3 linked regions of the Arabidopsis thaliana genome follow. The protein of the gene in region 3 interacts with the protein of the main gene of each other region in a biochemical or structural test. Each region holds a gene or a part of one and is shown on either strand. Other genes may lie near its edges.

Evidence for each region.
Region 1: the proteins of AHP2 (region 3) and HK2 form a complex in vitro, tested with the Arabidopsis thaliana proteins (one study listed by BioGRID).
Region 2: the proteins of AHP2 (region 3) and ARR7 form a complex in vitro, tested with the Arabidopsis thaliana proteins (one study listed by BioGRID).

What each region holds. Positions count from the first base shown.
Region 1 is NC_003076.8:13,910,364-13,921,010, forward strand, and holds HK2 (histidine kinase 2), read right to left. Parts: upstream 6,443-10,647; 5' UTR 5,975-6,442; coding exon 5,705-5,974; intron 5,608-5,704; coding exon 5,434-5,607; intron 5,329-5,433; coding exon 4,849-5,328; intron 4,769-4,848; coding exon 4,493-4,768; intron 4,409-4,492; coding exon 4,239-4,408; intron 4,134-4,238; coding exon 3,921-4,133; intron 3,828-3,920; coding exon 3,641-3,827; intron 3,570-3,640; coding exon 3,518-3,569; intron 3,440-3,517; coding exon 3,210-3,439; intron 3,116-3,209; coding exon 3,017-3,115; intron 2,931-3,016; coding exon 2,290-2,930; intron 2,204-2,289; coding exon 1,715-2,203; intron 1,630-1,714; coding exon 1,380-1,629; 3' UTR 920-1,379; downstream 1-919. Other genes in the region: AT5G35740 (Carbohydrate-binding X8 domain superfamily protein), read right to left, coding at 209-243, 329-583, 663-732. UniProt on the Arabidopsis thaliana protein: Cytokinins (CK) receptor related to bacterial two-component regulators. Functions as a histidine kinase and transmits the stress signal to a downstream MAPK cascade.
Region 2 is NC_003070.9:6,570,678-6,581,324, forward strand, and holds ARR7 (response regulator 7), read right to left. Parts: upstream 8,638-10,647; 5' UTR 8,402-8,637; coding exon 8,254-8,401; intron 8,124-8,253; coding exon 8,047-8,123; intron 7,828-8,046; coding exon 7,750-7,827; intron 7,657-7,749; coding exon 7,586-7,656; intron 7,489-7,585; coding exon 7,242-7,488; 3' UTR 7,156-7,241; downstream 1-7,155. Other genes in the region: AT1G19025 (DNA repair metallo-beta-lactamase family protein), read left to right, coding at 1-123; AT1G19040 (NAC (No Apical Meristem) domain transcriptional regulator superfamily protein), read left to right, coding at 6,218-6,736. UniProt on the Arabidopsis thaliana protein: Functions as a response regulator involved in His-to-Asp phosphorelay signal transduction system. Phosphorylation of the Asp residue in the receiver domain activates the ability of the protein to promote the transcription of target genes.
Region 3 is NC_003074.8:11,256,881-11,267,527, forward strand, and holds AHP2 (histidine-containing phosphotransmitter 2), read right to left. Parts: upstream 8,683-10,647; 5' UTR 8,529-8,682; coding exon 8,463-8,528; intron 8,244-8,462; coding exon 8,113-8,243; intron 8,033-8,112; coding exon 7,961-8,032; intron 7,878-7,960; coding exon 7,806-7,877; coding exon of another isoform or gene 7,802-7,805; exon of another isoform or gene 7,751-7,801; intron 7,738-7,750; coding exon 7,665-7,737; intron 7,556-7,664; coding exon 7,499-7,555; 3' UTR 7,246-7,498; downstream 1-7,245. Other genes in the region: PHS1 (Glycosyl transferase, family 35), read left to right, coding at 10-196, 286-486, 591-707; AT3G29330 (zinc finger RNA-binding-like protein), read right to left, coding at 1,108-1,269, 1,877-2,173; AT3G29340 (zinc finger (C2H2 type) family protein), read right to left, coding at 2,707-3,720, 4,504-5,226, 5,345-5,560; UGD2 (UDP-glucose 6-dehydrogenase family protein), read right to left, coding at 10,495-10,647. UniProt on the Arabidopsis thaliana protein: Functions as a two-component phosphorelay mediators between cytokinin sensor histidine kinases and response regulator (B-type ARRs). Plays an important role in propagating cytokinin signal transduction through the multistep His-to-Asp phosphorelay.

The sequences.
Region 1 (10,647 bases), on a different chromosome or scaffold from region 3:
CCAGATTGATGTATATTCGATACTGTAGAAAATCTCAATGCACAGTAAAAGCAGGTTGTTGAAGAAATTTTTATCTCAGACTGGAGTGTAATGGGAGAACAGTACATGGATACTGCTTTGGAATGAAAACATTACATAGAGAAAACGTATAAATGCAAAATCATAGCTTTTCATCTTGCTGTATCTTGTCTTTGCTGTGTCGTTTGAATCAGGGGTTATACTCATACTGGCAAGAACCATGGCCTGTCACAATCATAGCTGGATCAGAAACAGATGGTTCACTATCTACTAAGATTCAAGGGAGAAAGAGAGAGAGGAGAAAGCTTACTGGGGTCAAGCTCAGTGATCATGGCAGCTCCTTTGAAGTAACAAGAACCACCTTTGTTTTTATAAGTTTGGTAGTAACTGTTGAAAGCAAAGGAGGCATGATCTCTGATTGTGTTAGGCAAGAAGCAAGGCTGGTTTTCCTGCTGCATTTTGCTGCAGTCTGCTCCACCTTTTCCGCAAGCCCAGTCTAAGGCTGCTTGCAACTCATCGTCTGGCGTTTGTTCATCCGCTATGCACCATTGTTCCGACTCTGCCTCTGCTTAAACATACACTCACATACATCTGCATAAGGCCAAAAAAGGGACATAGTATGAACATTGCAGTGGTGTTTTTACCTGAACGTCGAGGAAGAGTCATTGCTATGATAAGCAAAGGAAGAAGTATCCTTATCAAGAAAGTTGACATGTTTCTAGAGAAGGCAATGAGTGGTGCAGAGAGATCCAGATCTGATCTATCTAGTTAGGAAGTTTGGGAGCTAAGGAAATGAGTGCAACTTGATACCCTTTATACTAGTTAGAAAGAATCATTAGTCCAAAAGTTCAAGATCTATGACTAGGGAATCTTGGTTTGCTTCAGATGCAATCATGTGCCAGATCTGCATTGGTTTTGACTTTTGAGGAAGATTTTGTTCTGCTTCTGGAAGCTTTTCAGAACACACTGTCATTTATACGCTTCCTATCATGTAATCAAGAGCCATTACTATTACTACACAATATACAAGCTGTTTCATAGTTAAGAGGACAGAGTTTGGGTTTATATATATATAAAATGAATATAATGGAGCTATACCCTAGGAATCTACTATACACACAGGCAGAGATCAATGAAGACAAAGTGTCTATACAAAGAGAAAGATCGGTTTTCGCAGTTTTTCTCACTCAACCAGACGAGGTCTTAAGCTGAAAGAGACCTGTGAAGAAAAATTGACAATGAACTGGTTCTTGCCTTGATCTCAAGTTGAATTGCAGGTCATGGATGTTCAAGATATACTACCCGATGTCAAAAAGCTCTCGGGTTGATATATAATCCTACAAGGGAAATGGCTTTTTCTTTTAACAAGGTTCAAAGAATCTTGCTACCGCTGTGTAGAGCACTTCCTCTTCAAACGGTTTTGATACATAACCATCCATTCCACATTTCATGCATTCTTCATGAGTAGCCTGAATAACATCTGCTGTCATTGCTAATATCGGGACGTGCCAACTACTAAATTTACAGAACATTTCAGCTGAAACTTCTCCAGAAGCTATTTTCTTATTGATTTCCCTCTCCAGCTCACGGACTCTCCTTGTCGCTTCAAATCTGCGCAAAAAATTATAAAGTTACCAAGGACGACATCCAAGAAATGAACAAGCTGAAGAGATAAGATTGAAAAATAGTTATCTACCCATCCATTTCAGGCATCTGGAGATCCATGAAGCAAGCATCGAAGTTATGAGGCGGCTTAAGCATTGCCAATGCAGCTTTGCCACTCTCAACGCATGTAACAATAGCTCCATATTTCTTAAGTGCACCTTCTGCAACTCGTCTGTTCACAAGATTATCATCCACAACCAGAATCTGTTTTTCTCTTAGCAAGTGTCCAAGATTTCTTCGCTGTCTGTTCGGTTGCCTCTTCTTGCCATTGACAAGGGTTTCTTGCAAGCAACATATTAAGACACTCATCCGAAGAGGCTTTATCACCACCTCATCGATGAGACCAGTAGACTTCATCTCACTGCGCTCAGTAAGAGTTGCAGAAGTTGCCAAAAGAAAAATCTTTGGGACTCTTGTAAAGGTTACTTTGCTTCGGGTAAACAACTCGTCAAGTACTGAAAATTCTTCCTTGTTCCAGGCGTCTTTGTCTATTAGAATCATAGCCAAATTTTCTAATTTGCTGCAAAGATTCCAGAACAATAAAACGCTTTTAGTGAACTCACTATAATCTCTAAAGACAGACAGACACTAATGTACGTAAAGTACCTGATACAACAAGTGCATGCCATTCTCAGACTTGAAACAATGTCTGCAGATATTCCCAGTCTCCGAAGTTCGTACCTGGTGACCTCTGCTCTAATGTTTCTGTTATCAATAACTAATGCTCTCAATCCTGTAAACTCCTGAATAGCTAGATCGAATCGTTCCAGCTTAGTAATCGACGTATTTGTTTCTGCTTTCCCGAAAACTCCAGTAAATGAAAAAGTACTGCCTATCCCGGGCTCACTCACAAACCCCATCTCTCCTTGCATGAGTTCAACCAAACGTTTGCTTATACTCAAACCTATGCCAGTTCCACCATAAGTCCGCGATGTGGAACTGTCGGCTTGCATAAAAGGTGTGAAGATTCGGCCTTGTGCATCCACAGGTATGCCAACTCCAGTGTCCTCCACTGTAACTAGCAATTTGATTTGATCAGAATTCTGACTCTCAGTACTGTAACATGTCTTGAAATTCTTCCAGCTTCCCCATGCATTTACCGCAGGAAACCCGCTAACTGTCTCACCGGACTCGCTGCATCCTAAAGCTAGTCGCTGTTTTAGCACTGCGTCTTCAATAGTAAGAGGCTCCTTTACCTCATCTGCAAGGTGCACTGAGATAAATATGTGTCCCCTTTCCTGTGTGAACTGTTATTAAGTAAATAACAAATGAGTACTGTAATAGTAGAGATTCGTGAAGCCTGTTGTTCTGTAAGAAGTAAGGAGTAAATTACTTTGATTGAGTTTCCAACCAGGTTTGTAATGATCTGCCGGAACCGACTCGGATCACCGACTACAACATCAGGAACTTGACTAGAAACATAAACGGCCAACTGTAACAAGAAGTCAACATTTCATTACATATGGAATTTGTTTGCCATATGAAAACATTAAGAAAGTAGAAGGTCATGCAGTTTATAATTATACCTCAATTCCTTTTTCATTTGCCTTGCCAGAGAGGAGAGATGAAACATTATCAAGAATAAAACGCATATCAAAAGGCACATTTTCAAGCTCGAGCCTTCCGGATTCAATCTTTGCCTGATCAAGAACCTCATTTATTAGTGATGTAAGATCCTTCCCACTGCCATGAGCAGTTTGCGCATAGTCCATCTGCTTCGCATCAAGATCGGTGTCCATCAGCATTTTCAGCATTCCTGTAACAAAATGCTTAAACGTTTCAGCTGATTTTAAGAGAACATGCAATATTGACCAAGGATAAGTAGAAAAAGTACCTAAAACTCCATTCATCGGAGTCCGTATCTCATGAGAAACAGTTGCTAGGAACTGCAAAATAAGAAGCATTTCAGTGAAAAAACAAGTAAAGCTTTTGAGACTATATGATTCACAAAGATCACCTGTGACTTTGCAATGTCAGCGGCCTCAGCACGAGCTTTGAGTTCCCTCATCTTCTGACAATCCTCTTCAACTGTCGCAATTCGGTTGATGGCTTCATATAAAATATAACCAACAAGAAAAGTAATAACCAGAACTAAGATCGACGGTGTTATCGCTGTCCAGGGAATGGGAAGTTTATGCTTAAACCTGTAAATGAAAAATGCCACTTTCATACTTCAGAAAACAGAGAAGTGAAACATATCTTATAAAAATGTACCATAACAGTTAGAGCTAACTAACCTGCAATGCATCTCATGGTTCCTTGATGGATCACCAAAATCAAGGCTACTTATATGCTGCTCACTTATATCCCCAATTTCTGAGCCATACATTTTTATTAGACCTGAAGTGTTAGTTGTGTCGTAAACATCCACAGCAATTGTCTGTTTGCTGGCAAGTTGGTGAAGAAGTTTCTCCACCAGCGATGGCATATCATATGATGCACCAAGGTACCTGTTTTTAAGTGTATCTTATTAATATTTTCTGGTCCAGAGATCATTCTTTGTTACATAGGTTCAATTTCTTCAGTCCTAGAATCATTTTAAGTAGAAGTAGTACCCAATAGTTGCTTCAACACGCTGTTCTTCTGTAGCATCAGGCGGTAGGCTCGTGTCATAGACAGCAAAGGTCAACACAACACCAAGATGATTTGACTTAAGAAGCTTAAATGGAGATGTTAACACTCCTTTTCCTGATGCCCTTGCCCGTAAGATGTTTTCACGGTCTTCCTGCAAAATAGTTAGACTTTTGAATTCTCTTTTAAGGACATTGGTTTGGCAAAATAGTTCAAGAAACTTTTAGACGTTACTGACTTCTCCAGACATCATGTCGACCGATACAATATGGGAAACAGTTTCTTGAGCAAATATAACTGGCGCGTATTCGTCTTGAATCGGTGCGGGATCAAAGTTTTCAGGAACACAATCTTGTACAACTGTCTGGTCCTCAGTTTCCATTTTCTTTATTGCCCATCCATGCTCCTTTTCAAATTTCTCTCTTTCTGAGTGTGGGACTTTCAAAGCATACGCTACACCACTAGTAAGTGGCCTCTCAAAGTTTGTTCTCTCAGTATATTCTTCAAATGTTCTCTGTAAATGTAACAGAAGTTGATGATTTAAACATAAACTTGAGACACAAAATGTATTTAGCAGTAAGAAAAAAACATCACCTGATCAATGGCAGATGGGATTTTACCATGATGAAATGTAGATACAAGAATAGACAAGGCATGAACATGGTTCAAGCTAACATTGAACTGATCTTGTAAAACACGTGCTCGTTCGTCACACATGTTTGCCAAAGTCTCCCTCCTTTTCATTATGATCTCCTCATTAGTGTCCCAAAACCACCAAACAGAGAAGGAAACTCCTCCTAAAATACCAAGGAGAAGGATATTCTTCCTCCATCTTCCAGCCCCTCTAGAAGAAGTCTGAGCACGTTGTTGCTGCTTCTTTGGAGCTAAAGCCTCTTGCAGATGTACTTTCTCTTTCCTCTCACCTCGTGCTTTAGAATGAGATACATAAATCTTATGGCACACTAACACACCAAGGATTAGACACCACCATGCATTTCTTAAATACGATGACAAACCCTGCTCCAGCCCTTCTTCATGGTTTTCTTCCTCAAGGTTTTCAGGTTGCTGTAAAATCTACTCATAACCAAACACATTCACAATAAACTTTTGTGAGAACTAGCTAAACACCAAATCTTAAAGCATTTCCTTCACATGTTGTCGAATCGAATATTATCTTACCGGTTCAAGATTACCACACATACAAGATGTTGATGAGATAGAATGTCCTAAGCCAAGATTCCAGGGAAGCCCTCTAGTCTCTTGTTTATCAGAACGCACACTCAGGGAACATGTAATACCATAGTTTGTCCACATTCCAGGGCTTGATTCCTTATGACATTCAAAGGATGTTACCTACAACAAATACAGAGAAACTGTTACACTTTAAGGCAAATCTGGTGCGTATTCAAAAGCTCAATTTCAACAAATACAAGTCAATTCATGCAATTACCTGATCTGAATCAGAGAACAAAGAGACCAAATCATGAATCTCACTTCTTGTGACATTTTGATGTCTATACAACACTTTCTCTTCTCCATTACAAGAATCTGTCTCCTCCTTCTGACTTCTACCTAACCGTAAGAACATAACCAAAACAATTACCAAAGAGCCACACAAAATCAGGAAGAAGAGAGGCTTCTTTAGCCATTTCTTGTCACTGCTCGACGACTTCTTAGCTTTCTTTGAAGTAAGATTCAAGAGCTCACAAGTTATAGACATTTCGACTCCTAATCTCAGATTCAGCTGAAGAAATTCAGATCTCTTCAAACCCAAAACTAAAACTCTATCAACAACAATCTCATAGTTGAGTTCTTGAAACCATCCACAAGAAGAACAAGAAGCTGTGACATAGTCCCAAACGCAAAGCTTTTTTCTTTTTTCTTACTTAAGACGCAAGAGGACAAGATGAACCAAACCCAGTGGTTGTTGCAATGGGAGAAAGAAGACATTGTTGAGAGTAAAGAAACGGAAAAGAGAAAAAGGACAAAGCTTTATCTTCTTTCATGGTTTCAGGGTAAAGAAAAATGACAAAGCTTTCTCTGTTTTAGATGTTTGTGAGCTTAAACAAAAGAAACCCAGCTGGTGTCTCTCATTACCCAACTGGACTCAATGATCAGAGTTTGGATAAAAGAAGCATTTGTTAGAGAAATTATGAGCTAAAGAAAAAGAATGTCACTTCTCTCTTCTTTTACTCTACTTTTGATTATTATTATTGTTTTTGTCTTTTGGTGAATAAACATTTTTAAAAACTGAGGTTTTTGGGTCCATGATTATCTCATCATCTAGGTGGGGAAGGTATTATAACATTTTTAGTTAAATTAGAAAAAGTGATTGGCTAATGAAAATATAAATAAACTCAACTATACCAAGAATCAATACATGCTTCTCCTAAAACCTACTCATTGTTATTTGTTTTTTGTTTGGTCTTTTTGGTGTTTTTAAATTGCTTCATTAGCATAGTTTAACATCTACTCTTAAGTCTTATCTTATCTTGTATAAAATATAACGATGAGTGGGTTTTACGAGAAGTGGGTATTGATTTGATTCTATATGTACATCTTATTTCTTTTTATCAGTTTATGTATCTTTGTCTCCCAGTTACATTTATGATTCTGATTATTTTTATGTAAGAAGTTCTGTTTAAAATTGTATTTGACTTTGAAAATATATTAGGACTAGATCATAACCCGTGCTGTATAGCACGGGCATTAATATTTTGTATAAATTACATTGTATACTTTGTTATGTTTGTTATGTTTATCAAAATTATTTGTTATATTTGTCAAAATTTAGTAAAATATATTCAAATATAATTAAATTTATTAAAACTTAATAAATTTAAAAGTTTTTTTTGTTTAGAGACGCACTATCTACATACAAAATACTCGTTTCTATTTTTTTGAGTATTTTTAGGGCCTGAAACTTTTTATCCAAACTGACCCAAACCCAACTGGACCCGACCCGAACCGAATATTTAGAATTATTCTATTAGGTAGTAAATCATATACCCATTAATCCCAAACCCGAACGGGTTCTACCCGAACTCGAATGGGTTACTCATATGCCCAGCCCTATTCTCTGATTTAATTATCTAAAAAATCCCAATAAAACATATGTTTTGTTGAATACCTTTTATTCAAAAAAATTTACATCCTCTTCTGCCAAAATCATTTCATAAGACATCCCAAAACCCTTGGAATAATGATTCTATGAATGAAGAATCCTAATTTGAATATACCAAGAGGTTTTGAAAGGTTTTAAGTTTTTGATAGGTGTGTATGTGAGAAGGTACATCCATCGTGATGGTAATCTGCTTATTTATAATTTTAACTTGCATTATACAGCAGGTAGGCTTATATTTTAGTTAAACTAAAAACTTTTATTGTAAAGTTGATTACAAATATATGATATTATTTTATTTGATTTTAAATGTATAGTAAACTGCTAGTTGTATATGTTTTGTTGATATTATTTATATTGTTTAATGTTTAAAATTATATACTTGTATTTTGATTGTTAATTTTAGAGTTTCACCTGTACTATACCATCTTGTATTAATATTGATTTAAACCCGTCAATTCTAGGATTTTCCAACTTGTATTAAAAATTGAATCACATCATACACATTAAAAAATCTAATATGTTATTAATTATTTTAGTATATAAAATTATAAATTTTAAAATAATATGTATGAAATTGAATATAAATATTCAAATTATAACACAGTACTCAGTAAAATTTTTTTTTAAATCTACTTTTGACCCGTTATAGTATTTTTTCATGTATTGAACAGTTTATATTTGTTTTTTTTAAATTTAAATTGTGGCATATGCGAAAAAAACTCTAATTATTTTTTTATAACGATGATATTATTTTTTTGCAAAAATAAAATCATATAAAGATGAGAGGTGAACTATAATAATTAATAAAAAATTAATATGATAATTTAGATATCAAATCTAATTTGTTGATTTTAATTGGTTACTTTTTTGGAAATTAATAATGTATTTCGTTTTTGAGTTAAATTTAATTAATTAAATTGACTTTTTAATTTTTAAAGAAATGAATTAATTTACTCTTTAAAATTTTATTTCTAATGGCATACATATGTAATTACTTACAAAAAATAAGGTTATATTTAAAATGTACTTCCCAAATAATATAGTAGGATAGAAAACCAGGATTTATATATATATATATATATATATATGTGCTTAAATTAAATAAATTGAAGAAAATAAAGTTGATTTTTTCGTTAAAGTGTTTGTAATGGAATCGCTATTGTAGTATTGTGTCTACACCCAAATTGAAACCAGACATAATACATGAAATTGACCAAAATTGTATATTTTGAGGTGATCTTACCGTGTTCTCAAGATGACCAACGAAGCAAAGACAAAGATGACCCTATAACTTTTATTAAATTGTGTTTGCATTAGTCATGCCTATTTAGTTAGAGTTGGATGAAATATTTGATTTGATTTTTTTTTGTTTGACTCCAATATCTAAACCCTTATACAGTATCGTGCCAAAGTCAATAGAGGCTTAAGACATATTCTAAAATTGTAGTCTCACACATTCTATTTTTGAGATTTTTTTTGAATGTTAAGAAAAATAATATATATATATATATATATATATATATATATATATATATATATATTGCTCATTTAAGAAACAATTTCAGTACAAACAAGATTTAGTAGTTAATGTAAAGGAAAAACAAACAAAATTTTCCATAAATGTTATTGATGAGTTTTCTTTCCAAAACAAAAGTCTTAAAACGCTAAATAAAAATAAATACTGAGTAATTCAGAAATAAATGTGGCATTTTATTTGTTTATTTTTGTATGACCTAAGACAAATGTCTTTTTCCTACATGAAGTACGGCTCTGCCTAAATAACAATTTATTTTCATTTAATCGATCTTTTTTGGTATTTTTGAACTACTGTCGTATGTACATATCAAACCTCATTATTCTTTCATTCCTATATATTATTTAGTTGTTTAATATGTATTCCACCTAAGAGATCTCAATTGATAATTAGTTAGTCTAAAAAAAATATTATCTATTATTTTTATCTCACCAATATTTTAGACTTTAGAACAAAATAGAAAATGACAAATAATAGCATGAGACAATTATTTTTATTAAAAAACAATAAGCAATATAAACATGTAGAATATTATTCGGTTTGGGATTTACGGCTTTACTTCATAGACGGCTTTTAATGACCCTCTTAGGACGTCAAGTTGCTACGATAAAGCCATGAAAACAGTTTTATTAAAGATATGTTATACACCCGAAGACTCACAATTGCCAACAAAGTATGAAAGTAATGTTTCACGTAATAAAAGTCTTGTGCTGAAACAAAAAAGATTAAAATTTTCACGATCGAGATTATTGGAAGATAACTAGTTCATTCGATCACTATCGCCACCCACCACCCCACATTAGCAGAAACAGTTTTAGCGCAAGAAGTCCTGCAGCTCTATATCATTAGGCAGCTGCGATATCTCACCTTCAACAATGAAGGATTGCTAATTGGTTTGTCATATCAAACTTCCCTTACTTTTTATAAAACTAAACGTTGTTGTCATTATAGAGTTTGTGTATTTTAACAAAATCAATAAATTTAAATGCGGTTCCGTACAATTATGTACAATAACCGATATATTGATTAAAAATACAATGACATACTGGTAAATGCTATAGGGCATATAAACTAACACATGAAACAACATTTGGATAATCATTTTAAAATAACTGACACAAGAATATCAATACTTGACACGCAAGATACAGTTATATGTTTTGTTTTCTAAATATCTATAATATTTTTAATCTCTTTTTCTAGGCCCCTAATTGAGAATCAACCTATAGAAAATGGTCAGTATATATGCAGATGACCTTATAACTTTTTTTTTATTGTGTTTGGATGAGGCATGCCTATTTAGTTAGAGTTAGTTGGAATATTTGGTTTGAAAAATTCTGGTTTGACTCCAATATCTCAAGTTATGTTCTTCCTTTTTACCCTCTATAGCTCTTTATTTTTCATTTAATCGTTTTTGTATTTTTGGACAACATTCGTATTTACATATCAAGTTTCATTATTCTTTTCATTAATTCTTATATATTATTTAGTTGTTAAATATGTATTCATTCCATTTCCACCTAAGAGATCTGAATTGATAATTAATAATGTTTATCATTTTTATCTCACCAATATTTTACAATATGAAGATATAGAATATTCTTTGGTCTGGGATTTACGGATTTTATTTCAAAGACGACGATATCCAAAATTCTTGGTACGTAAGATACACGTCTTGTTTTCGAAGTTATCTATAATATTTTTTTACTCTTTTTTTCCAGAACCATCCCCTAAT
Region 2 (10,647 bases), on a different chromosome or scaffold from region 3:
GATCTTAGTGGGGATTTGAGAAAGCTATACAGATCAATGAACGCACCTGTGCCTCGGCCGCTACCATCATTGATGGAGCTTATGAACGCTAGGAAACGCTCTCGGAATCACTTGAGTTTCTAGCTTGCGGTTGACATCTTAGCCTGATCACATCATTACAGTCTCAATCCCTTATAAATTTTTATACAGTGGAGAGAATACAGTTTGTAATGTTTTTTATACACAGAAATTGATACATTTTTTTGAATAAAAGAAATTGTTGATAAAATCTATTTCAGTTTTTGATAAAAGGTTGATAAAATCTTGCACCTCTATAAATACCACGTTGATTCTTCCAATAACACTGCCGCAGCATAAAATAAAGAACCCTACCTTTTTTTTTTGTTTTTGCTAAGAACCCTAAATTATTCGTTATGAGAGGTCGGATATATTTTCGCCATGAAATCGACCGTAATCCTGAAGTCTCAGAAGCTGGCACAATCAACGCATGTGTAACCATGGTCACGATGGATGAACCTGTACGAACATTCCCGATTACGTGGCTCGCGGATTACGTCATGGAAGATGAAGGATTTAGTAGTAGAGAAGACATTAATGATCTTTTGATGAAAGAAGGTTTCCCTCTCGAACCCGATTTGTTTATGTTGACCGAAATTGCCCGCAAAGGTATCATTGAAGTGACTTCCTCACGTGATTATAGCCCAGAATATGCTCTGTTTCTGAATTTGACTTTTCGTGATGGTATTTCCTTTGATGAGATTGTAGAGGATGACGACACCAATATTTATATACCCTATTATTGTATACCCTTTAGACCCGCAAGCGAGCTCGCTGTCAGGTCGCTGACCAAAAATATATACTACAAGACTAGCTCTATAGTTGGTGATAAGTGCATAATTTGTTTGGAAGAGTTTAAAGAAGGAGCAAGAATTGTGACTTTACCATGTGGACATGAGTTTGACGATAAGTGTATTGTAGACTGGTTTGCGACCAGTCACTTTTGTCCATTGTGTCGCTTCGAGTTCCCCACGTGAAGATCGATGATGGGATCGAGGATTAGGTGCTAAGTTTTCTAAACTCTAAACGTTTTTTCTTTTTTTTTGTTACAAGTAAATTCTTAAGTTTGTTGACACAGAATTTGTCTAAAGTTTTGCTCTCTTAGATTTTTTGCCAAATCAATAATTCTTCCTACTTGACTCGATTTCATATAAATATTTGCTTCATTATTCAGCGGATTTTGTCAACCATGAATTCTAACTCGTAAGACAAATATTCGTGTTCTGCTTTTTTATGGTCAGGTTCAGCTTTAAACTCTCGGAAGGTGAAAGTTGCATGGTCTGAAGTATGTTCTCCAAAACAAGAAGGGGGTTTGGGATTACGCTCGATTGCAGAAGCAAATAAAGTCTGTGTTTTGAAGTTGATTTGGCGCATTCTCTCAGCTAGGCGGTCGCTTTGGGTGGAATTGGTTAAGAAATATCTTATTCGAAGAGGCTCCTTTTGGTTAGTGAAAGAGAATACAACTTGTGGTTCTTGGATATGGAAAAAAATTTTGAAATACAGAGACACAGCAAAGAGTTTCTATCGAGTGGAAGTTAGAAACGGCGAAGCTTCTTCTTTTGGGTTTGACAGATGGAGTGAGATGGGTTGTCTTTATGACAGATTGGGTGCAAGAGGGTGCATTGATTTGGGTAGCCCGATGACTGCTACTGTGGGTGAGGTAATGGCAGGGGCAAGAAGAAGAAAATATCGGGTAGCTATTTTGAATCAAGTCGAAAACGAAATAGTAAAACAGAAGCTCATAAGATCGAATGAGACCGATGTAGCATTATGGAATGGAAAGCATGACCACTATCGAAAAGAGTTTCACACCAAAGAGACGTGGCTGCAGATTCGCACCGCAAAGCTATTGATGGAGAACTACAACGGAATCTGGTTCAAGCACTCGACTCCGAAGTACTCACTCATCACATGGCTCGTTCAAAAAAATAGAGTAGCTACGGGTGACAAGCTGATTAAGTGGAACCCGCAAGTAACTCCAAACTGCATTCTCTGTCAACACACTTTGGAGACATGGGATCATTTGTTCTTTATGTGCCCTTACTCATTTCAGGTCTGGACGAAGCTCGCAAAGGGAATCCTCCACGCTAGCTTCACCGCAAACTGGACGGAAACTCTCAAACTGATACATGACAATAGGCTAAGCAAGACGAAGTGTTTCATTGTAGGGTACATATTTCAAAATGCAATCCACTCTCTTTGAAGAGAACGGAACAACCGACGACACAATGAAGAACCATCCCCATGCGAGAGACTGATAAGAGTGATCGATAAAATCATTCGGAATCGTTTGAGCACAATTCGGAGTAGCGGAGATATGAAACTTGCAGGAGGTTTGCAAGATTGGTTTGAATCAAGACAAGGAGAGAAGATTTTTTTGTTTTTGTTTTGAATGATGTCTTTTAAAACAAGTATGTATAAGTTGTAGAACAATTTTTTTTTTTTTAATATAATTTAATATTAAATTCAAAAAAAAAAAACTAATATTTTGTAACTCCCTTTACTCACTTATTATTTTATTTTTCTTACTATTTTGCAGTTCTACAATATTACTAATTGGAATATTATGTGAGATTTCATTGGCTATATACTTTTGTTATATAATTTGCACCGGGTTAATACGGTACTACTACTATTCGATCAATAAAGCAAGTAGTTTACCAATTATGATACTATATCTAGTTGATTTAGTATTCTTTGTTGATGTATAAATATTACGTTACCACTATTTATCGGGTCTCTCCACCTTAGTTTTCTCTCGCTCCGGTGATAGTGTGGTTGGATTCCGGCGAGCTTCTCTTGTGGAGGCAAATCACGAGATCTTTTTGGCTCTCTGGTTTGTTCTTTGCGGTTAGAAGTGTTGTGGTTTGTTATTGGTGGTCAACATCTCTCCTCCATTGGTGGGCTGTAGAGGGTGGCAGCTTCCTCAGCCATGGTTATGGTTTTCCCGTGACCATTTTTCTTCGTCCCTTCGCCTCGTTTTTGGTTGCTTTTAGGTAGATTTTTGTTGTTTTTGGTGTTGTTGGTGTCGGTTCTTTTTATGTATGCGAGAATATGGGTGCATTGATAAGGTTAATAGAGTGTTGAATTTATGGCAGCAAATAGGTCTAAGTGGCATCGCTATCTCATTGAATTAGTGAAAAAGTTCATGATTGCTTAAGTATTTTTGCGTTAATTCTCGGAGAAGCTATAGACTTTTATCACGAGGTTTTGAGGACAGCTTCAAATAGATATGCTCGTGGCAACTACGATGAGAATTCCGGTTATTCGGTCATGTGACAACCACGCAAATTTCTGAGTTTTGCAGGCTCAGAATTGGTATTTCACCTCGTAACTTATCCTTGAATGCCTAGAAGCAAATTGTAATGTTGTATTTATTATTTGGAGACTGCTTTAATCAGCTTTTTGTCAAAAGTCAAAAATGATATAAAAATTAATCTTTTGTCAAAAAAAAATTTTACACCAAGTCTCAGGTTCGATTTTGCAGATTATTGATGCATAACTTATCGTAATCTATATCGAGTACTATAATTAGGTCACCGTTGTGGTCTCAAATGAAGCAGAAAGAGTATGTCCATCATATATCATATATGCATAATCGTTTGTCGTGTATCCGAGTGTTGCGAGAAGAGCTGAATGGTAGAATCGTTATCTATAAAAGTTGTTCGTCATAATCTATATTGCAGGTTATCATCAAAATATTATTAGACGAGATATATCTAGATATGATGTTATAAATGACAGAAAAAGGAGAGAAAAAATCTAATTATTTTTAGGGTAATATTAGAAAGTAGAATTGAAAAGAATGTAGTAACTAACCATTGTTAATTTGTATGTGAGTAAATAACCTTATGACGGCATAAGAAAATACAAAAATATCCTTGCAAGTTGAACCAAAAGCAAGAGTATGAGAATAACATGATATTTATAAAAAAGGTGACATTTTATAATATGTTATGAGAATAAATAATGTGTTATATGAAAAACTAGCATGTTGACAGAGAAAGATTTCCAGTTATCACGTGTAATTCGAAAAAGTAACATGATACAAAAGAAAATAATATACAATTTAAAAAGAAAACATAACGATGAAGATTCCAAGAAAAAATCAAAATCGAACAAAATAAATAGCACGATATTTATCAAAAAAGTGACATTTTATAATGTGCTATGAGAATAAATAATTTGTTATATGAAAAAATAGCATGTTATTTGAGAGAGATTTTCAATTATAACGTGTAATTCGAGAAAGTAGCATGGTAAAAAAGAAAATAACATACAATGTAAAAAGAAAACATAACGACGGAGATTCCAAGAAAGAATCAAAATCGAACAAAATAAAATGAGAAATCTTCTGCAAATTGAAGGAGAGATGATCCGTCAATATAAATAACGTTTAGCAGCCTAGATTTATCGAAAAAGAGACTGATGGTTGTGATGGTGGAAGATGTGGTGGTTGTGGTGGTGGAAGAAAGAGAGATGAGTGGTGGTTTGTTCGGATTCATCAAAAGTTTTTCGCCATGGAATCATCTAAGTGTTTTGTGTGATTTTGTAAAATAGCGTGTAATACATATAAAATTCGATAATGGGTATAAAAATAATTACAAGTGATGAAAGAGAGTGTCCTCTGATACCATAGCTACTTTGTTAATTTTTTTACAATTCATAGTTATTTTGTGCATATTCTCTTATTTTTATCTATAAATGATTAAACCAGAAAACATGTCATAACATTTTCTTAATTTGATTTTCAGGAGAATTTATGAACTTGCCCATCTTTGTGGGATTTCCCAAAAAGAGGCTTTGAGTTAAAGGTCCTAGGAAAAATAATCAGTAATAGAACATGCTACTAAATATTTTAAAATGTAAAATGTGAAAAAATACTAATAGATTTCTTACCAAAAAACAGTGGTGCTCTTTTGTTTTTATTGATTTTTTTTTTTAGTGAATTACAGCCCAATAAAGGAATAGCCACTTCGATAGCTGGGATTACAAAATTTGCCGGAACGCGGAGACATTCCGGCGAAGCTAATCGGGGAAAAGGAAAATCTTTTAAATTATATATTTTTATTAAAAAATCATCTTCAGTAAAAAAACAATAAAAGGTTTCTATGGAGGAGACATTTTTGAAAAATAGTATTAAAAAGATGCATTTTTTTTTTAAAAAGTCTTCCTTCAATGTGTGTTTTCAAAATAAATCCAAATATGTATTACATAGTCTTTGAAATACCTAGGAGTCCGATGATGAGAAAATACATATCCTAGAAATATATATAATTTCGGAAATAAAAGTCTTAAATATGATATACAGTCCTTTTAATTTAACAATTGTGAAGATGTTTAAAAAATTATAATTTTGAATAAAATACAAATGATAGTATTAGTGAAGTCGGCGAAGGGGGATTTATCTTTAAACACATTGTAATTGTTATTGTTGCGTATCCGTTGGCAGCAAGAAACAGAAACACAGAGTGAGTCCAAGATCGCTTTAGAGGAACGCTTGAAGAAACCACTGAACATTGATATTAATTATCAAATATTCGAGTTTCTTCTTCCTGCATTCAAAATTCGTCACCAAGATTGCAATTTTCTTATCATCTTCGAGCGTTCATCTCTGTTAGATTATCACGGTTTGTTTGAAGTCTGTTCTCTCGTGGAAGAAATTGTCGATCTCTCTGTTATCCAACTCTTTGTCGCGTTTCTTTCAGAATTTCTATATCTGTTGGGTCTCTGTTCTCTACTAGAAGAAATCGTCGATCATTGATTCAGGTAAGTTCTCGTTCTTTGTTATCCAAGTTTCTGCTTCAAGCATTCATCACCAAGATTCCAATTCGTTATTGGGGTTCTTGCAGAAACTTCTTCGAACATTCATATCTGTTAAGTTTTCACGTCGTTGGGTCTCTCTGTTAATCTGCTAGAAGAAATCTTCGATCATTGATTCATGTAAGTTCTCGTTCTCTCATAATCAAGTTTCTTCTTCTTCAGCATATATTCGTCTCTGTTACACTTTCACACCGTTTCTACTGCTAGAAGAAATCATATTCATTACCATGATTCCAATTCTTTTACTGGGTTTTCTTTTAGAATAATAGATCACTGTTTGTTTTTAGAGATCGAGTTTGATGAATTTGGTTTCTCGTTTCTTGGATCAGAAGCAAAAATGTCAGAGGTGTTAACACGCGGGTTTCGATTTCGCCCAGCTGATGAAGAAGTGACAGACTACCTTATGCGGAAGACACAATCGCCGGAGTTCAGCTGCTTTATCAAAACCATAGACTTGTACGACAAGGATCCGTGGGTACTTGGGCATGTGAGAGATCCGTGTTACAATCACTATGAATGGTATTACTTTGTTAAGAAAAACCCCCTCGGGAATGAGTACTTAGATAAGCCTAGATTGAACGGGTTTGAACATCCACGCTTGAAATGGGATGTGTTGAAGCAGATACATGATGCTCTGAGTTCTGGTCAGAACGTCCCACCAAGTGTCTTTACTTACGGATTCCGATTTCATCCGACTGATCAAGAGCTACTCTCTTTGTACCTCACTCCAAAGGCCCATTCACCAGACTTCAGCTGCTTCATAAGAGAGAGAGAGAGCTATATGCCATGGAGCCATGGCTTCTTGAACATGTTAGATCTCCTTTTTACAAGGACAGTGAATGGTACTACTTTGTGAGAAAGTGTTCGTCTCGTCGTGAAAAGCTGAATTTGATGTTCTACCTCAGGGGCAAGAAGAAAACATGGAGGGTCAATGGTGTTGTTACACAAATCATAGATAATGACATAGAGAAAAATGTTCTGGGAACTAAAACAAGATATTCTTTCAATCTCGATGTGGGGCGTGTCCACTCAATGACCGGGTGGAAAGTAGAAGAATTCCAATTGTCTTCGGATCCTGTTTGGGCGGTTTGCAGACTCACTTACCTGAAAAACGATTCCTGCGTGATTGATGATAGACCAATACTTCCGGGAGAAGAGCATCCTAAGCTTGAGTTGCAAGCATTGAAGAATTTACATGAGGTGTAAGTCAGTGTGAACCTAACATTTGATTCTTTTCTCTTTTTTGTTTTGTTTTGTTTAAGCAACATCATGAGTAGTGTGATGACTCTCTCAAACATTGTCTTTCTTGAGGAATATTAACAGAATGGTTTTGCTAAGGTCTTGGCCTCTATACATATAATTCAAAGTAGAGAAAAAAGGTTTTCAGATTCTGATTTCATTCGTTTTGAACATGAAGAGTCCTTGATAGAAGTATCATCATGACTTGATGATGATGTATCACTGTCTTCTTGAAGCTTTCTCTTGTTAGAATGGCTTAAGATTTTGCATTCCTCAGCTTCATTCCTCATTATAAGTTGTTTGATTCGCTTTACATCTGCTAGCTTCACCGGTTTCAACAAGAATTCCTCTGCTCCTTCTTTGAGACATCTAAAAACAAGAAGAAGAAGTCGATAAGTTTAGATCACAGTGTAGACACAAATATGATCCCATCTGTATCACTACACATTACACAATCAGTACTTACTCTTGTATACGAGGTAAGATGTTCTCAGATGACATAATCACTACTGGTACTTCTCTGAATGCTGAAGATTCCTGCACATATCAATGGAGTTTTGTATAAGCAGCATTAAAAAAGCTTTGTTTAAGTCTTTCTCAGATTGGTAAATCCATTATTATTGTTATTACCTTAATCTTTTTAAGGAGATCATATCCTGAAAGTCCTGGCATTGAGTAATCCGTCACTATCAAATTCACCTTCAAATCCTGTTATGATGAAAATCACAAACAAAATCAAATCTTAATACCAAAACACATAAATCACTAACTAGACTAGTTCATTTCTAAATCTCATTTGATCATAAAGACAAGAAGAAGCAATAGCCAAAGCCAAAGTTGCAAAGGTTTCACTCCTTCGGTCTTTCCTAAATATACAAGAGTTCTTCTCAGTAGATAGCAAAAGAGGGAAGATTTATTCTTAATTACCTTAAGATTAGAAGCCCCTTTGCCTCCATCTAAGCCAAGATACTGCAAAGCCCTAGTTCCACTCTCTACAGTCGTCACTGAAATAACAAAAAAAAAAAGACACTTGTAACTAAAAAACAGAGGAGAGTTTGTTAATGAAGAAGAAAAACAGAGGAGAGTTAAAACCAACAAAAACAGAGCAGAAAAAGATTGGTTTTGAGTTTTTACCTTTACAAGAAGAGATTCTAAGCAACCTCTCGATGACTTTACGATCCACAATACTATCATCGACGGCAAGAACATGCAACTCCGGAGTAGTAACAGTCAAATCTCCACCGGCGGGAATCTCCATCCTCATGACCTCACCAACCGCCATTGTCAAACTCAGAATAAAAAAGAGAGCAGATTGGTTCCAAGAAGAGGAAAGCTTTGGATTGAAGACAAAGGAAATGAATGTGATAAAATGAAAGAAGAAGAAGTTAGGTTAGGTGACATAAATAAGAAGGGAGAGGTGGTGGGGTTTAATAAGTACTAGTATAGTAGATAGAGAGAGATTTGGAAGATCGGATCTTGCGGGGTAAGATCTTTGAAGAGGAAACAAAATCTTAAAAATGGGTCAAGTGTTGATGTTATGTGTTTGGGAAGTGTCAGAAAACACAAATAATCAAATGTGTCTTCAAAGGTCAAAATCTTTGGGCACCGAATCTTTTTTAAGATTTCAAAGATCTTTGTTTGGTCTGTTTCTTTCAATCCGACAGCGACTACTCCCTCGTGACCTGGAACTTTCCTTCTGCTTTTAGTAATTTTATTTTAGTTTTACCTCTCTCTCTCTTCTTTTTTCTTTTTCTTTGCCAAGTCGGCTACTACTTTGCATTTTACTTACATATCAATCAATGATCTAAAACCGGTGGTTATTGCTCAATTAATCTACTTCTATATTCATTTTAACTTCAACATTGTATTTTGTATTTTCCTATACACGTGATTCGTTTATACTCTACTAAATTTTATTTATGTGTAATGGTATGATGGTGATACTAATACAATTTAATCCTCTTGTTGTCTTTTTTTTTTTCTTTTTTAATTTGGGTAAGAAGTATTTTACAAGGTTATCTTAATTTAATTTTCTTTACGTCAGTAAGGGTTATTATTTTATTTAAAGACAAAAGGGACATTTTTTATTTTTTATTGTCATCGTTTTCAGTTGAGTTTCCTTTATTAAATTGATTGAATTTTGTATGCAATAAAGGCACTCTGTTTAGTGGACCATTGTGTGTGATTTGTGAGTCTCTTTTGCTTTTGGACAAAATCTTGAGAGAAAAATATGGACAAAGTATTGCGGGTGGATCCTTTTGTCTCAATCATAACATCTTCTAAACGAATTGCAAGAGGACTAAGGCAATAGTACATGTTATTTGGTTTCAAATCAATTAAAAAACGTATATTATACGATCCCTAAATAAGTGTCAAACATGAAATTCCTAAATTAAATTGGAGAAATAATACCAGGACAACAGCCATATCATATAAGGATCTCTTTGCAGATTTAAAAGGTTTTTTTTTTTATTTTGCAACAAAAGGGAATAGTTTTGTCATCATTTCATTTAAGTTGTTTAGTGATTTTTTTTAGTTGACCATCATTGTGTGATTTTGTGAGTCCTTTTTGGACAAAATCTGGAGAGAGTAAAATCTTCAAAAGTTGTGGAGGAGGATCCTTTATAGTTTGTAACATCTTTTAGCCGATTGTGAGAGGACATTGACAAAAACATTTTGTAAAGAAAACTGGTTTCTTAGCATTAATTTAGAATCTAGCAAACTTTTTGTAACGATTTGATAGATATCTACAAATATCAATGTTGAGATCTACAAGAATCTAGCAAAAACATGATGGTCTTCACACCTAACACTTACGAAAAACATTATTTTGAAAAAAAAAAAAAGAGTCAGTCATTTGAAGAGAAAATTATTACAATGTTGATCCACATGTCTAAACATTTGATGATCGTGCCAAACAAAACATTGGTGATAAGAACATTACTGAAAGGAAAAGGAAAAAACCATCAATATGTTTCACATTTTCTTATTTTCATTGCAATTTATATATGGAACAAACTTGCTTTCAAATGTTTTTTTCCACCTAGATTTTAATGTCTTATGTTTCAAGTTATCAAGATCTTTGCATACATTTTGAATAATAAAATAAACAAATCAAGAGACAGTCATCCATTTGCTCCGTACCTAAGATTTATGAAAAGAAAATCCTAAATCCAATTTAAAAAAACGAACCACAACCACCAAAGTCTTTCATGTATTCAGTTATTTTTTAGAAGTCAATAATTTGATTTTAAACATAAACGAACAGTTCCTGAATAATAGAAACGGACTATTGATGATATAGTCACGATAGCTACAAGAGGAGAAAAAACACTATAGTCATAACAACGCTAAAATATATATAAAAGTGTTCTCCGTTTGTTGGTTTCGTAATAAATAATGCTTCATCATATAGTCACGTACTGATTTGTTTACAAAGTTTGCTTACAATCTCAAGATACGATGACCAAAATACCAAAGATATTACTAGTTATTTTTCAAGACTAATATTATTATCGTATATAAATA
Region 3 (10,647 bases):
TCTCTGCAGTACTGCTGGGATGGAAGCTAGTGGGACAAGCAACATGAAATTTTCGATGAACGGTTGCGTTTTGATTGGAACCTTGGATGGGGCGAATGTCGAGATTAGAGAAGAAGTTGGAGAAGAAAATTTCTTCCTCTTTGGTGCCAAAGCTGATCAGATTGTGAACCTCAGGAAGGAGAGAGCAGAGGGAAAGGTATATACTATTTGAAGAGTTAACCTTACCATGCTTCTGTTTTAGCATCAACAAGAATTTGATTTTTGACCTGGCTCTTGGCATTCCAGTTTGTTCCCGATCCTACTTTTGAAGAAGTCAAGAAGTTCGTTGGAAGCGGCGTCTTTGGCTCAAATAGCTATGATGAACTAATCGGCTCTTTGGAAGGAAACGAAGGCTTTGGACGAGCGGATTACTTCCTAGTTGGCAAAGACTTTCCTAGTTACATCGAATGCCAAGAAAAAGTCGACGAGGCATACCGAGACCAGAAAGTAAGTACTAATGCATTTTCTTTGAACATCAAGCTAATAATGTTGACTAAAATATGAAACTTACTCAAATATCAAACCTTGAAATTGCTGTTAAATGATTACAGAGATGGACGAGAATGTCAATAATGAACACAGCAGGTTCATTCAAGTTTAGCAGTGACCGGACGATCCACGAATACGCCAAAGACATATGGAATATTAAGCAAGTGGAACTTCCATGAGCCTTGAGACAAGTCTACCTTAAGAACTCTTTTGTACGTCCCATGTTTCTAATGTAATCAAGGTAATAAGGAAATCATGTAATGATGCAATACAATGAACGTAAGAAATAAGATTCACGAGTCAATGTAATTTACAAGGGCCTTCGCTGCCTTAGCGGCGTGCTTCTGACCGGCTAAATGATCGTTGTAAACAATGTCGCTATTACAAACTACGTTGCATATTCTACACAATCTAATTGACTCATTTGACACCCCGCATTCCACGACTCTCCGTCTCTTTGATTCTAGATCTTCTGTTGTTGAATCCGCACCTCTCTTCCTAGCCTTGCTTGTACACGGATTTTCTTGTGGTCCTATTAAAGGGGCTGTAACGGTTGGTCCAGACAAAGAGGAACCCTTGTTAGACGACAGTAAACAGACCATTACAGTCAACCTTACAAACTTCACAGTGAGCAGAGCGAACAACCTTTCCCTTCTTCGTTCCAGGAAGTTGAGCTTGAACTATGTGGCCGGTCCAAGAGAAATCAGGCGGGTATATGCTATGAGACTGCTCTATAAGATCCTGATTCATCCTCAATTACAAAAGTTCAAGAAAATATCAAATTGAGCACACCAGGAAGGTAGTAAATATTGCATAAGAAAACAAAATTTCGAAAATATTTCTTCAGATCTTATGTAGTTTTGTAACCTAGTCTACATGATGCCTTTCTAGAACAAATTTGAAGTATAAACTGATCCTTTGCACACCGAGAGAAGCAAACAGATCAATCTCAAGAGAGCAAAACAGAGCAATCACAAAGCAAACATTGTATGACATACATAAAAGACAGACTCTTAGACTTTATACACAGATCATAATGAATTGGTAAGATATACATAAAATAATCATTGATTTCACAGATCGAAGGATCTAAACATTGAGATTTGTGCAAACAAAAATTACTAGAGACTAAAACTTGATGACTAAGCAAAACAGAGCAATCTCACAAAGCAACTGAAATTCACTAATGCATCAAGAACTTGTTGCAAAGGACCTGACTTTACACACAGATCCTAACGAATCACTGAGAAATCTATAAAAGACATCATCTTGACCACATTCCCACAACTTAACGGAGAAAAATTCATAGCTTCCTCATCAAAGCATTCATATTTCTGAAACAACTTACAGGCCAAGCCGAGTTCTGCTGAGCATTCATATCTAAAGTATAATACGGCGTCGTATCCACAGTCACATATGATGTCGTCGCAATCACAGCCGCCGTAGAATCAACAACTCCAGGCGGTGGTGGAATTGCAATAGCTGAGGATTCATAAGTTTGGAGATCGGAGATGGAACTAGGGTTTGGATTTGCGTAGTAACCATAATAGGAAGCGTAATACGCATCAACCGCCGTCGACTGATTCATTTCCGGTGGCTGTATCGCCGGTGCCGGCGGTTGTTGCCACTGACTGTTGTAATCCATGGAAAACAAAATCAAAGTTTTGATCTTTTCTTAGTTCTTGCAGTTCTATTGAAAACCGGACAAAAGACCAGACCGGTCGGACCGGTTTGATCGAAAAAATCTGTCCTTTTGGATTAAGTGGACCAATAAATAATCAATTTCACTTTGGATTGGACAAAATACCAGACCGGTCGGACCGGTTTAATCGAAAAAATTGTCCTTTTGGATTAAGTGGACCAATAAATAATCAATTTCACTTTGGATTGGTTCTGTATCTCAGACATGAAGGTGGAATTGAGACTGAGCTCAATGATAGTTTCAGACTAATAACAAAACCTGGTTTTTTTCCTTCTGTTTCATGTCTGTAACACTAGCAATAAAGTAGAAACAATAGAGAGGAAAATGTCACAACTATACACATTCCTTATTATTCAACTAATCTGAAGATTCTATATAGATGAACACATATCTATCCTTTCTCTGTAGTATATTTGGTATAATGTGAAACCTCAAAACCTTTGGTTAGACTTGGAAACATCAAAGCACTGACATTTTTATATCCCCTGAGACTTGTAGCTTGATGGTTGTGCAACAATCTTGCTAGCTTCTGAGTCAGTCACAGAGAGTGAATTACCATCTTCAGTACCCGCTAATTGGCCTTTAATCGATCTGTGAAGTGTTTGGTGACCACCTAATGCTTGTGAACACACAAAACTCTTGCCACATATTATGCTTCTATAGCTACTAGAATTGTCGAAACACGAGTGAGCAAGCGGTTCGCTGAAGTTTAGTTTTGGCTCAGCACGATATAAGATCTTTTCATCCACAGAGACTTCAAAGCTTGGTGGTTGTGAAACAATCTTCTTAGCTTCTGGAGGAGAAGGTAATGCACTGAACCTGATTTTACTGCAAGTATCAAACTTGTCGAAACCCGAGTGAGCAAGCTGTTCGTGGAACTCTAGTTTCGGCTCAACACATTGTAAGATCTTCTCCTCCTGAGCATGTTCAAAGCTTGATGGTTTTGAAACAATCTTCTTAGCTTCTGATGAGTCTAACAGTGAACTATCATCTTCAATGTACTCAGGTTTAGGCACTAGTTTCCATCTGTGAAGTCTCTGGTGACTACCAAGAGCTTGAGAACACACAAAACTCTTCTCACATATACTGCATTTATAACTGGAGCGAGATTTTTTCTGTAGTTTCCTTCTCAAAGGACAAGGTTTAAGCTCTAAATCCATGAAACCATCACCTAGAGGCAAATTACTGATAGAAGCAAAGTCATAAACTCCTTGACACAACATAACCAAGTTCAATGCAGCTTCAATCACCTCATGTTTCTCAATCTCAGCCATAAAAGAAGATCCTTTGAATCGATCAAAAGCTGAAACAGAGCAAACCCTAGACTTCTTCTTAAGACCCCAAATCCTTTCCAAACCATTCTCATCTTCGATTCTATTGTGATTACCAGAATGCATCCTCTGGTGACCATACACACCTTTTAAAGTTCCAAACTTTCTCCCGCATGTTTTGCAACCATGAAGTCTCTGAGACATTTCGCCGACAAAAACCTGAAAATTGAAACAAAGCTCATAGCTTTTCCGTTTGATTTTCTCGAGAAAACAGAGAAGAAGACAAAGATCGCGAAGAAACACACAAAATCAGACATTTCTAAGAAGAGAGTGATCATGTTTCGCTAGAAACTTGAAAAAGTCTAAAGCTTTTTCCAGTTTATTTTCTCGGGAAAATGTGGAAGAAAACGAAAGAATAATCGCAAAGCAGAGAGCTTGATTAGCTTACCAGAACAAAATCTTCACTTGATTTTATGACTCAGGAAGAGAAAGAACACGTTTTGACCTAATCCGAAGAGCTGAAGACCTTAAAGAACACTTTTTTTTTACTTATCGCAGAGTTTGTAGTATCGCTTTCGATCTAAGCTATTGACAGACAACAATGGAGAAATTTACTTGTTGTGGAAGCTAATGAGTCTATTATGCAAAAGAAAGAAGACAGAGGATAGTTATATCCTACACTCACGCGTATCATAAACTTGGTGCTCCCTAATCGCTAAACCAATTAATTGGTTTAAGTAATCAATTTTGAACTTTGGATTGGTTCTGTATCTGAAAACATGAGTTAACCAAAGAAACTGTATTTGAACCAAGCAAGAGGAAAATGTTAAGTATACATCTGCAACTTCTGTACTTAGAAGAGAAAAAGATTCAACTAGTAGACTAGCGAGAAAACAGTTCACTGAAGTCTTGTTTTGACTCAACACAATGGAAGGTCTTCTCATGATAGATTTCAATGCTTGATGGTAGTGAAGCAAACTTGCTAGCTTCTGAGTCAATCACGCCAAACAGTGAAGTACTATCTTCAGTTTTCTCATTTTTACGCGCTACTTTTTTCACTTTGATCGATTTGCTGCAACTAATAGACTTGTCGAAACCCGAGTGAGCAAGCAGTTCACCGAAGTCTTGTTTTAACTCAACACAATGTAAGATCTTCTCCTCCTGAGAGACTTCAAAGCTTGATGGTTTTTTAACAATCTTCTTAGCTTTTAATGAGTCAGAGAATGGATTATAGTCTTCAGTGTACTTCCTTTTACACGCTAATTTCCCGCTAATCTCTCTGTGAACTCTTTTGTGATTACCTAAACCTTGAGAACACACAAAACTCTTGCCACATATTTTGCAATGACAGCTTGATTTCCACTGAGTTTTTGTCTGCAATTTACTTCTCAGAGTAGATGGTAATGCACCCGAATGAGAAAGCGGTTCACTGAAGTCTTGTTTTAACTCCACACAATGTAAGAACTTCTCCTCCTGAGAGACTTTAAAGCTTGATGGTTGTGAAACAATCTTCTTAGCTTCTGATGAGTCTAACAGTGAATTCTCATCTTGAGTACTCGCTAATTCCCTCTTAGTCGATCTGTGAAGTTTCGTGTGGCCACCTAGACCTCGATAACACCCAAAAATCTTGCCACATACTTTGCATTCATAGCAGGAGCTACTACTCTCAGGTCTTTTCTGCAACTTACTCTTCCGAGGATATACTTCACTGAACTCTTGTTTCGACTCAAACACAATCTAACATCTTCTCCTCTTGGGAGACTTCAAATTTTGATGGTTTTGAAATAGCATCTAAGGACTCAAACAATGAATTATCAAATTTAGTATACTCCCTTTTACGCACTAGTTTCTCTTTAATCGGTCTGTGAATTCTTTGGTGACCACCTAGAGCTTGATAACACTCAAAACTCTTGCCACATATTTTGCATTTGTGACTTGATTTACTCTGCAGATTACTTCTCAGAGCAATAACACCACTGCAAGTAGTAGACTTTTCGAAACCCGATTGAGAAACCATTTCCCTCAAGTCTAGTAACAACTCAACACCATCTAAATCCATGGAATCATCATCATGAGGAGACAATTCAAAGCCATACTTTTTCTGAAAACAAAACCAAGCTCATTGCAGCTTCTTCTTCCATCTCATGCTCCACAATAGTCTCAGTCATAAAAGAAGTTTCTTTTAGTGACACTGAAACCGAACAAAGACCCCCAAATCCTTAGCAAACCGAGTAAACACCAGAATCAATCCTCTGGTAACCACATACATGAAGGTTATGGATTTTGCCACCAAGATGAAAACTTTCATCTGATTGAACCTGTTTCAGCATCAAATACGTTAAACCCACAAGAATCAAACACAGGAGAGTGAGAAGAAAACACTGAAATTGTAAAAAATCGTGAGCTTTTTTCGAGAAAATAGGGGAAGAATCAAAAGAATGTAGAAAGATGAGAGCTTTGATCAGCTTACCAGAGCAAAACACTAACTTGAATTTAGGTATCAGGGCCTGAATCGCTGAGCTTGATCTGCAGAGAGTCTAGCTCTCGCTCAGCTTTTAACTCGTAGAGACTGATGAAAAAAGTTACTTGTTGCGGAAGCTATGAAGGCTATTTTGCAAAGAGATAGTTATCTCCTACACTCGCGTCTACAACTAACTACGTGCTCCCTAATCTCTAATTTTTTTATTGGTATCTTTTATATCGGTAATCTACGTTGGTCTAAAACCGGTTTGTGATGTATCCCAAAATGATTATCACATTTTCTTAAATGTCCATTTCGGAAAAAAAAGGGTCTATTTCCAAACTATTACCAGAGTTCAAAGTATGACTCCGATCTATAATTTTATATATCTCTAAAACTAAAGTTCTATACCTAGTTTTCTCCCTAAAATAAAATTTCTATATACAAATCTCTCCAAATTAATAGTTCAAGATATATCAACCCACAATTATTGGTTTCATTGGTTTATTAACGGGATAAATGTCATTTAAATCATCACTTTACCATTTCCGTTGGTTTTGAAGCATAAAATCTCGATCTAGTGATTTAAATCCTCAATTTTATGTTGACGTTCAATATAATCACGAATTCGTTGACTAAGCCAATTAAGGCACATCGTTAGAAATCTTTCTAATCAAAATTTTTGATTTTTTCTCTCTTTTTCTTCAGAATCTCTCATCTTCTTTGGAATTTCTCTTCTTTTTCGAATTCAAAGTAATATTTCGTCTTAAGGTCGATTGACGACATCGAAAAAAAGAATTTGTGTCTCAATTTGCTTAGTCAACAAGAATTTGTGATTAATTTGAAAGTCAACATAAAATTAAAGATTTAATTCACCAGATCCAAAGTTCATGATTTAAACCAACGAAAATGGTAAAGTGATGATTTAAATGACATTTTCCCCGTTTATTAACTACATGCTCCGTAATCTCGTCGAAAGCGGTTTGTGATTTATCCTGAAAGAATTACCATATTTTCTTAGAATGTCCATTTCGGATATCGAATGGGTAATGGTTTAGATTTAGGTTTTAGGGTTTACGATATTCATATTCTGATAAGGAGACAGGTTGTAAAAATTTGGAAAGTCACTACCAAACTTTTACTAATTTGAGTAAAGGTCAACTTCGAGACAAATAATTCAGATAATTACGAAAACATTATGGGCAAATTTGGGAAACTAAAAGATCTAAACACACAATTTTTAGAAGCACCCACTAGTCAAGACTTACTTAGTAATCACTATATCTTACTCAAACCAAACCTTTCAGAAGCAAACCAATATATATTATCATCACATTCATTAGTCCAATGGTTTCAATTTTCTCGGATGAGATCAAACAATACATACTACTGATTTATAAACAACCATCACTTGTTTTTGTTTCTTTTTGCACATATTTTATTGAGTTTTTGAGCAAACACCAAATCCAAAATAATTTAGAAGAGAAACTAAAGAAAGAAAGTCATCATCTTTTTTCTTCTTATGGACTAGTCTCTTTAGTTAATATCCACTTGAGGAACTATACCACCAGCTTGAATGATCTGTTTCTCAAGCTGAAACAACAACAACAACAACAATGTCAATGATTTGTTCATTACTCATAACCAAAATGATTCATTAAAAGCAGAGCCAAAAACAGAGATGGATTCTATTCACACTCACATTGAACATATCTTGAAGCTTTGTCTTTAACGCCTTGTACTCAATATCCACTTGCTGCAAACATCTCACACACCTGTAACATAACATGAGACTATTATTACTCAACCAATGAGTCCCAAGAGAAAACCATAACTCGCTTACCCTTCGTAGTTCTTAGCTTCACAACATTCCTTGAAGCTAACACACAAAGTTTTGACCCTCTTGGCACCAACACTACATAGAAACAACACAAAGCTTTTCATCAATCAACAACACACAACTTCTGCTACTTATATAAAGCGAGACATGATACATACCTTGAGCTACTACCCTTCAATTGATGCACACTAGCACCTACCTGACTAAAATCTACAGTTCCTGTCGTGTCCCTGAAATAGAAGTAGCCACAATCACACTTTAAGACAACACAAGCAATGATGATCTAGCTGAGAGAATATCAAAAACTTACAAAGCTCTAGCCATGTTACTGATAAGCTTCACACAATCTTCAAAGAAAAGTGAAAGCACTTCAGACACAAAATCAGGACTTCCATCATCTTGTAGCTTTTTCAACTCAGTAAATTGATCATCCAAAAACCCCTTCACATAAAAAAAACACAAACCCATGAATCTAAAGTTCCAACCTTTACACAACTCAAATCCCTAAAAATCATAACTTGTAAAAATCTACATAAAGATTCAATCTTTCTTCACTTTTGTCATGAATCTATGCATATAGGAGTCAATCTAGTGTGTATATGAGCTAAATTAGCTAAGCAAAGAGATGAAATTGGGTTTGAAGAATTGTGGAATTGAAACCTGTTGGTAGAGAGAAATGGTGTAATCACGAAATTGTCTCTGAAGCTGAGCAATGAGAGCGTCCATGAGAAGAGTGAAGCGGAGATTGGGAGAGGATTTTTTTGTTTGGACTTTGATTATTGACTTGGATTTCTGGAAATAGCCAATCCCAAGAAGAAGAAACTTGTGTTTTGTCTTTCTCGCGAATTGTAACGCTGCTACCAGATTTTTTTACTTTAAATGGGAAACAATAATTAAAAGAGAAACACACAAATATTTGGACATTTTTATGTATTTATTTATTTGGGTGAAAAAAATTAAATAGAGAATTTTCATAATTAACATAATTTTAAAGTTTTTTTTGATAAAAATACCATTCAAAAGTTTTGTGAACATAAATAACACTCAAATAATTATTTAATTTTTAATTATTACAACTAACATTTAAAAAAATACAAAAATTCATACCAAAAATTTTCAACAATATTTTTCTACAAAATAATTTCCGTCAAAATTTTTCCACCAAAAATAATTACGCCGCCCACATTTTACCTACAAAAAAAAATTCAGAATTTTTTTTACAAAATATAGGAAAGATTTTAAGCAATTCAGGAAAGGTTTCACGAAATTTATAATTTTTTTCTTTTGTAACCCTTCCTGAATTTTGTAGAATTTTTCCTGAATTCCCGAATTTTTCTTTTTCGAAATTCAGGAAGAATTTTACGAAAATTTTTTTTGTAAAATCTTTCCTGAATTCCGTGAAATCCTCACGAATGTCGTAGTTAGCTTCCTCAAGTTTTTTTACAAGAAAAATTTGACGGAAAATTTTTTTTGCGGGAAAATTTATTACCGAATTGTTTTGGCAGAAAATTTGACGAAAAATTTTTAGCGGAAAATTTTTATTTTTATTTATTTAAATAAAATTAATTATTTATATTTAATATTTAATTAAAATTTTGAAAGCTACTTGTGAAATTTTTCAAAAAGTTGTTATTTTTGGAAGAAAAAATTTTGTTGGTGCTATTTTTGTCAATCCCAATTAAATATTTTTTTTTTGGGAAACATTTGGATTCAATACAAGTTTTTAAGTAAATTATTGGTATTTGGTTAATTAATAAAAACTCTTTTTCTGAAAAATATAATATGAAACACTCATTTAATAATATTAAATCTAATTTAATTTTCTTATATAAAAGAAAAATATCAATCTTATGTTTCGATTTACTTGGAAAAATTAAAGTATTTGACATTATATTTTCTTTTCAAAGACCCAAAAAAAAAAAAAAAAAATTGCAACTTATTATTTCGATATTTTTAAATTACAATTAGACTAACCATTTAAAAGAAAATTTTGTGTATAAGATTTTTAATATTATTCACATATAGTTTTTTATGGTATCAGAGCTATATGTGATATGGTAAACTATTCACATTACAGATTGGAATACTCACCCAAGTTATGTAGCCAACTTCGGTGTGCGTACCTAAAAGGTTAATATGTGGTCACTAGTACTGTAAGGAATGCCTCTACGAATGGATTTATGCATATTTACTTAAACAAAAAATACCAATCGCAATGAGAGACATACAAAAACATAAAGCTTTAAATATGGAATCGTTAGGTGTCACTCAGAAATCAGAATCTCCAACCTGGAAACTTTTACAAGATGCGTTTGGTTCCTAATCCACCAGAGAAGAGATATCATGTGATTCTCTATGAACAATGTGCAAATATTCTTCCGAGTCAACTCTCGCAGACAAAGCTCAATAAGTGGCAAAACTTTCAACGATTAACTACAAAGTACAAACACATTTTACTCCAATATAAACCAATATTTATTTAGTTTCTAAGGAAACAACAAAATTGAAGCGACATTGTCGAATACAAGTCCTCTTCGACCAAAAAAATATGAAAGTAATACCAAAAAAAACAAAACACACACCAGAGAACATAACAAACATATTGTAAGAAATATAACAAGTCTTAAAGACAAACCACAAGAAGAAGAAAAGCACAAATGATGGAGGACGAAAGAGTCAGCAATGAACATCATTAGGCAACGGCAGGCATGTCCTTGAGCCAGTCGTCGAGAGGCTTACCAATGGAGTAAACAATGAAACCAATCTCCCTTAGCTTTTGCAGATTCATAATGTTTCTTCCATCGAACACGAAAGCTGGTTTCTGCATGTTGTCAAAGATCTTCTG